Linked DNA regions of Macaca fascicularis. The protein of the gene in region 2 purifies or fractionates together with the protein of the main gene of each other region. This does not show direct contact. Links are inferred from orthologs where the notes say so. Each region holds a gene or a part of one and is shown on either strand. Other genes may lie near its edges.

Evidence for each region.
Region 1: the proteins of ETV6 (region 2) and LRP6 purify together in Homo sapiens (affinity purification with mass spectrometry; 3 studies listed by BioGRID and IntAct, counting the BioPlex papers as one, with this or other methods). This does not show direct contact. The link is inferred for Macaca fascicularis from reciprocal best matches to the Homo sapiens genes ETV6 and LRP6.

What each region holds. Positions count from the first base shown.
Region 1 is NC_088385.1:14,928,466-14,932,280, reverse strand, and holds part of LRP6 (low-density lipoprotein receptor-related protein 6), read left to right. Parts: intron 1-3,064; coding exon 3,065-3,281; intron 3,282-3,757; coding exon 3,758-3,815. UniProt on the Homo sapiens protein: Component of the Wnt-Fzd-LRP5-LRP6 complex that triggers beta-catenin signaling through inducing aggregation of receptor-ligand complexes into ribosome-sized signalosomes.
Region 2 is NC_088385.1:14,424,251-14,428,502, reverse strand, and holds the start of ETV6 (transcription factor ETV6), read right to left. Parts: upstream 2,864-4,252; 5' UTR 2,410-2,863; coding exon 2,377-2,409; intron 2,318-2,376; exon of another isoform or gene 1-2,317. UniProt on the Homo sapiens protein: Transcriptional repressor; binds to the DNA sequence 5'-CCGGAAGT-3'. Plays a role in hematopoiesis and malignant transformation.

The DNA.
Region 1 (3,815 bases), about 500 kb from region 2:
TTTCAACGCCTATTATTTCCTGAAGTTTTTCCTGATTACTTACAGAGAGGGGATATTTGTGTAATTTTAGTGTAAATATCGTTTACCTCCCCAGTTAGATTGTAATACCTTAGCTAGAAGAGGCCCTGTTCAAACTTCTCAGCATTCATCATGTCTATCATGGTGATTTGCATTTACTGGATGTCTTTACTAATATTGTTTGATTTGCGGGGAAGTGAATTAGGGGTCTGGTAGAGCAGCAAAAGTGTACTCGTATGAAATTGTCAAATATTTGCTTTTTTTTGTTTACTGTTTTAGTTACTTTATATCTAACTAGCAAAAGTAAACAATAAAAATGGGAGTAGGAAATGGGAGGCTGTAGCTGTGTAGTTTCCTACTGGTTTCAGGATAAAGGTCTCTTGGTTTTTGTCTCCAGTTTAACAGTGAGTGGTTGTTTTGGTCTTTTATTTTCATGTATTCTTTTATATTTACGTATTTTTATTTTGAAGCACTACATTAAATAATTAAATACAATCATGTAGCTGTTTACATTTAGGAACTAAAGCATTTTAATAAAATGATTTTAAAGGGCAGGAACCAGTGTTTGCCAGGTAGTGCACCTAATACTGTGCTATATATTTAGCATTATTTTATTTGATCCTTAATTAATTCAGTGATGGCAGTGGCGCTGTCCCTATTTTTTTTTTTTTTTGAGACAGAGTCTCGCTCTGTTGCCAGGTTGGAGTACAGTGGCACGATCTCTGCTCACTGCAGCCTCAGCCTCCTGGGTTCAAGCGATTCTCCTGCCTCAGCCTACCTAGTGGCTGGGACTACAGGTGTGCGCCACCACGCCCAGCTAATTTTTTGTATTTTAGTAGAGACAGGGTTTCACCATGTTGGCCAGGATGGTCTCCATCTCTTGACCTCGTGGTCCGCCCATCTCAGCCTCCCAAAGTGCTGGGATTACAGACATGAGCCACCGTGCCTAGCCCGCTGTCCCTATTTTATTTGCGAGAACTTGCTTAAGGGTACCCACTGAGTGATAAAGCTTATATTTGAATCTGTTTCTGCCACAGTATTACTTGCTGATCATGAGAAATTTTTTAGAGAATAGAAGAATGAAGGGAAACTGGTAAATAGACACAGAATTATGTTTACTAAAAAGGTCTTGGAATTGTGGTATTTATTATTTTTCTCACAATGATTTTTAATTTAATTCTTACCTATTTTCTTTCTTTTTTAAAATTTTTTTCCTAGGCTGGAGTTACTTAGGCTGGAGTGCAGTGGCTTGATTATAGCTCACCGGAGCCTCAAACTCCTGGGCTCAAGCGATCTGCCTGCCTCAGCCTCCTGAGTAGCTAGGACTACAGGCTTATCCCACCATACCTGACTAATTTTTTGGTATTTTTTGTAGAGACAGGGCCTTGCCATTTTGTCCAGGCTGGTCTTGAACTCCTGGGCTTCAGTGATCCTCCTGCCTTGGCCTTCCAAAGTGCTGGAATTATAGGCATGAGCCACCATACCCAGTCCCATTTTCCTAATTCATACTTAATCATCCATCTTTTGTTTAAGCTGTTTATCAAAATAAACAAAAATGTTGTAAAGTGATATAGCTGAAACAGAAAAGATTTTGTTAGTTGATCCTGTAATAGTTTTGAAGTAGAAATATAAGTGTTATTCTTTAAAAGTTTAATATTGGACATCTAGTTTATGCTTTTACACCAGCAAATTTTAATAGGAAGGCCAACATTTGAATGTAAAGATCAGCAAAATTAGTGTAATTTATTACATGTAAGATAATGCAAAATAAGATAGAACTAAATCTGAGAATAAAACCAAGTCAGGCATATTTTAACATACCACAAACTTGGAAGAAAGTTATATTTTAGTGTTGTATAATACAGAATATTTATCACTCTGTGTTGGGTGCTCCCTGATAGACTGATTGAACTGTCCCTAATGCAGAACATAGGTTCACTGTTAAGTATATGACATTTTAGATGAGGTAGCAGTACAGTTAAGTATATGACATTTTAGATGAGGTAGCAGTACATGTTCCTGGAAATGCAGTTGGAAATGCTGCAGTAGAAACTGAGAAGATCTTGTTCTGTTCTGAAAGATGGAGCAAGCCTTCCAGAGTCCCATTGTTCAAGTCCCTACCTGAGACCATTTCTGCCACTTAAAGGGGCCTGTGTGCTGGGCAAATTAGCCTTTAGAAATGTTATTTCATACTAAAAACATGTACGTGTGAACAATATCTGCTTCTACCCTGCAAAAAAGTATCAGATATAATCTTACATGCAAATATTAGTTATATTATGTCAATAAAGGTATCCCAAGTTAAGTCAACACTGAGTAGTGCATGGTGAATGCACTGTGAATGCAATATGAATGCCAGAGTGAATTTAATAATGTTACTATTAGGTAGTTGGAAAGAGAAGTTACATCCTAGTTTCTTGAAACTTAGATGCAGAGAGGGTGTCATATAATCCAGATAGACTTTTGTGATTATAATCTCAGGAATGAGAGATAATTATTGAGATCCGTTTTATCTGTTGGTTGTTGTTACTGACAATAACAACAAAATAAAAAGCACGCTAAGTGGAAAGAGTCCTGAAAAAGACATCAACTGTGTTTACAAGCTCTGTGACCTTACATGAATCTCAGTTTCCACAGGCAAAGCTCTCAGGATAAAATAAAATATGTTATAAAACAAAACATAAGATAAAACAATGTATGTGAAGGTACATTATAATTTGAAAATAAATGTGCAAACTTAAGGTGATGATACTGTATTTTTAATTTTGCCACAGTCATTTAATAGAAGAGTTGCATAATCTAAAGTTGACAGAATTTTTAGAAGGACGAATAATATGAGATTGGGGGGAAAAGTGGTCAAATAGAGGCTTATATGGAATATTTGAAATCATTCTTATGAAATCATCACGTAATTTTGAGAAATCATTGTAATAGGAATACCAAGATGACTCTTGGATTTTTATACAACAGGCAGTTGGATTTGTTATTTTTGCATGAAGAATAAATACATGGTTCATCCTCTTCTCTTTTGAATTTAAACCTGAAGGTTATGAATACTGATGGCACTGGGAGACGAGTACTAGTGGAAGACAAAATTCCTCACATATTTGGATTTACTTTGTTGGGTGACTACGTTTACTGGACTGACTGGCAGAGGCGTAGCATTGAAAGAGTACATAAACGAAGTGCAGAGAGGGAAGTGATCATAGATCAGCTGCCTGACCTCATGGGCCTAAAGGCCACAAATGTTCATCGAGTGATTGGTAAGTAACTCCAAAGCTTTCTTAGAAACGGAAACCAGGAATGAAAAAAGATGGAGATAGTCAGCAGTGTAAATTATTGATGTTTTGAGGCAATTTAGAAATCTTCTTTACCCCCTTCTTTTTATACTAAGAAGGGACCTTTTAAACGTTGACTTTACTACTCTAGCTACCCAGGTTTGAATTGAAGGACTGAATACATATGCACAGGCACACCTTCATCCAAAGAATTCAGTCTGATAGTATGAATAACATACCTTATTTTAAAGCTTACTATGGATATTAAAGGAAAATACTTCACCATGCTTTTACTCCCTATTAATCTGCATATTATTTGTTTGTGATATTAGAATTGAAACTTGAGATTGGGAGCAGATAGGCATTTGTGAACCAAAGGCTTAAGTAATTTAAAAGTGAAAATATGTTGAATGTGTCAATGTGTGTGTTCTTCTGTGCCCCTTTTATAATTAATCTTTTAGGTTCCAACCCCTGCGCTGAGGAAAACGGGGGATGCAGCCATCTCTGCCTTTACAGACC
Region 2 (4,252 bases):
CTTGAAAACCTCTAACATTTGTTCTTCACTACACAGAAAAGCGTATTGTTTACTGGACTCTAGCAGCAAGCAACTTGCTTGTGGGTTACCAGCAAACATTTTTTATTATGCAGTCACCGTACCACATCCCAAGGACTAAATGAAACGCAGCACACATCACCAGAACATTTCAGATGACCCGGAATAATCCCAGTCCTTGATCTCTAGTGCTTATTATTGGAACATTGTGAATTAAACAAACTCCATGGAAAGATACTTTTCACATACGTTCACCTAGACACATGCAGTCTACGCAAATACACACTGGTTCCATGAAGAACAATCCAAAATAAAAGTGATTCTTTCCTTTCTGGTAAAGAACATTAAATCTATTTTAATTACATAGAAGTACACAGTAATGAAAAGAGGCACCCTAAAAGAACTGAGTTGTAAGCAATAAGGAAAAAATGATATGCAAATTATAGACACAATTTTCATGTTGCATTTAAGAAAGCGTTTTGCTTGGGATTGGTTCTGTATGTGAGTAAGGCAAAGGGCTGTTGTACTCTTTTTCCGACTGGAGCACAATGAAACAAACCACTCAGTAGCAGTCTGCAGCCAGCACACCACCATAAGCCCATCAGAACGGTGGGGATGCAGTTTAGAAGAGAATCAAGAAAGGTCACAGAAAGCATTGCTTTTTGTTGTTTTGTCCTAAAGTTACTGATCTGTAACTGGTCCAGATTTTCCTGATGTTGGGTTTATTGCCACTGAGCTAAATACAATTTATTGATTGAATACCCTAGTCTTAAGTTACCTCTATGTTATGAAGCATCAAATAAATCAGATTACCTATACCGCAGGATTTTCCTGAACTGGGTGTAGAATCTAATTTATACCACAAAAGAAACTGGTTTTGAAGTATTAATATCAAAGTACCCCAAGTTCTTTAGTGTGGCACGCCCCATGCCCACAGACATACTGCTACCTCCAGATATGTACAAACACAAAAGCGTAAAAGTTCCATTGGGCATTTTTGTGAGGCAAAAACAAAGAAGCCCAACACACCTTTTGATTTCACATTAGCCTCTCCTCAAACCCATGAAAATGTTTTCTGGTAAGAAACACCAAAATGTGATTCTAATTATTAAAAACCTAGTAAGCCTGTATGATGAACTACTGCGTTTCCCCTACACAGATTCTAATTGAAAGGCAGTGTTAAAACAGGAAGGGTTTTTCTACAGACGAAGAAAACAGGTTACTTGTCCATTGTTGCTGTAATGTCCATTCAATGAACATACATTAAATAGGCCAAACCAAAAACAAAACTTCAGCAGCTTCAGCCTCTCACAGGGGCGGAAGGCTTTCTACCTGGGTACTGGTGGAATAGTGAAATGAATAAAGTGTACAATAAATGCAGCGATGGGAAAAATAACTGGGGTAGACGGATAAATCATCCTGCCTCCCAATGGTGGCAAACTTTACAACAACTTTTCAGAAGCAACAAACCGCAGCACCACAGTCTTTACAGATATATAGACATGCATACACACAACTACTGGGTAGCCCAGCAGTGTGTTTACAAACATCCACCGCCCTGCATTTACAATACTGCAAAACCGGCCAGAAAGCTGGGAGGGTGCTGCTCTTAGATATCCTCTCTGCACTGTCAAACACAGAAGGTCATTTTGCCTGGTTTGCTTAGTTCTTCCTCTCCCTGCATCACAGGAGTTTTCTACTTTGGGATTGCTCAACTTTCATATGGATCAGAGTAAAATAACTATTCAGCAACTTTATTCACCTAGGTTAAAAAAAAAAAAATTCATTGTGCAATGCCTAGGAAAAGCTGACACCAGGACTGCCTCTCCGACAGCACTTGCAATTACAATCAGACGAGGGGGAAAAAAATCATGTCTGATCAGACCCAGAGAGTCCTTTAAAAAAATGAAGAAAAAGATTCTATCGCAGCTGGGACTGAAGAACTTTTTTTCTAAGAAGACCACCCCTCGGGGACAAAAGTTACATTTCAGTCACATGTTGGGTGTAGGAATAGGGAGCAGGTTTTTGGGGGTTTTTTTAAGCGCACTAATTACGGGGGTGTTTTACAGTTCTGGAGACAATCCGGGTTGCTCCTGACCAATTGTGACCGGCATTTCATTGTCAAAAAGCAAGAGGGTGGGGGCCGAGGAGCCGGCAGGGGCTCGGCGGTGGGGAGTAGCAAGGTTACGCTAAAGGGTACAGCCGCCGCCGCGAGCTGCATCTCCTTCCCTCGCGCCCCAAATAATTTACTGCGAACAGAGCAACTGCAACAGCCCGCTCTGAGGAGCCCAGCACGACTGCCCTGGCCGGTGCAGCTCAGGGTTTCCACCACGGAGAGGGAGGGGAGAAGATTTTTACCTTAATGCTACACTGAGCAGGAGTCTCAGACATGTCTCACAGCGAGAGAGATCAGGAAGTTCTCAGGTTTTTTCCACTTTCCTTTCCTCTCCCCAACCCAGAAAGGCTCCACGGCCAGCCGGACGCGGTCATTTAAGAAGTTTCTTCCAGCATCTCTCCCGGCAGCCGCCCCGGGGGTCTGGAGCGCGCGGGGCGGGGCGGGGCGGCCGGCGGAGTTGGGCGCGCGGGGCGGCGGGGGCGTGGGAGCCGGGCCCGAGCGCGGCGGCGGGGTCTGCAGGTCGCGGCGCGGCGCGGGGACCCGGGACGCAGCCCGGCCAGCCTCCCGGTCTCTCCTCCCACCCGCAGCCGGCGCCCCCGCCCCCCGCCCTCCCGCCGCTCTCCCTCGCTCTCTCGAATGTTTTCCTTCCTGGAAGAGAGAAACTGAAAGGCAGAACTGAGAAAGCTCTTTGCTCATTGATCTTGAGAGTTTCAGTGCAGAAACTGACGTGAATTCCCAGCACTGAGCTCTGCCTCTTAAAGGAGCCACCAGGAAATAAAAGCTCGGGTTACAGCCCGGCATCGGGGAAATAAAAGCCGCGCGGGGGAGGGGCGGCCGCGGGGGCGCGGGCGGAGGAAACCCGGGGAGCGGGGCCGCGCCAGGCCGCGGCTGCTAGCGGGGCGAGCGGCGCAGCCCCCCAGGCCGGCCCCCGGTGCGGGCGCCCGCCCTCCACGCCGCGAGACCTCCCGCTGGCGGAGCCAATTTCCGGGCTTAAGGAAGACACCTTTAAAAAACGTTACATCGTGGCCCCAGACACCACAAAACAGGTTTTATTAAACTCCTCCCACCTCCCCTGGCTCCATCTCTTGGATACATCGATTTGCACAAGGGTTTTGAAACGTTTCCCTAAGCGCAGATGCAACGAAAGTAATTATCTATGAAGGGCCATTCCGGTAAGGACGCGGAATCCGAAGGAGGAAATAAAACAATAGCCTTTGTTCTGCTTCTCGACCGCTGCCTCTTTAAGAGAATCCACCAGGAAATGGGAGATCGGGTTACAGCCTGCACACGGGGAAATGTGGGGAGAGCGGGCGCCCGAGCGCGACGCCGGAGACAAAGCCGGGGCGGCCGCGCTGCAGACGCTGGGGGACCGCCGGGCGGGGGGATTCCCGGGGAAGGTGGGCGCCCCGGAAAGAGGTGGCGCCGCGCGCCCGCTTGGGGATGCGGCGGCCGCGGGCGCTTCCCCAGCCGAGCACGCGCTCCGGGACGGGAAGGTTGCAGGGCAGTTATCAAAGGCAGCTGAGTTCCTTTTCCTGATCTCCCCCTCCTGTTTCGAAATCTACTGCCCTTTTAAAGAAATAGCGGCCGCCACCAACCGAAATAGGTGACTCGACTACAAACTTGGCAGGACGTGTTCCTGCAGATAATACCCCTCCCCAGGACCGCTTCTGTGAAACCGTCATTGGCCGGTTGATTGGATGGCCCTGGGATCCTGCAGGGGGAGGAATATTTGGTTGGAAAAGCAGTTGAGGGTGGTTGAGGCCGTTGGGACTGAGGGGTCTAGCCTTGAGCACAAGTGGTCTGATTACTTTATTATTTTTATTATTATTTACAGTCTCTTAAATTGCCCTGAAGTGTCCACCACAAAAAACTGAGAACATTATCATTATACTTAAATTCTAACCTTGTTAACACATATATGGGGGTTTAATATGTGGATGTGTAATGTAAAACGAAATTTGTTGTAATTTCGTCTTTATTGAGTAATATATTAAATATGGTATAAATATGTATATACCCATATATGTTACCTGCACCGAACCAGGACACATTTCCCCGAGTCTCCCCACCCTTACAGATTTTGCCTACCCACTTTTCTTCACCTCTCCATATTATGAA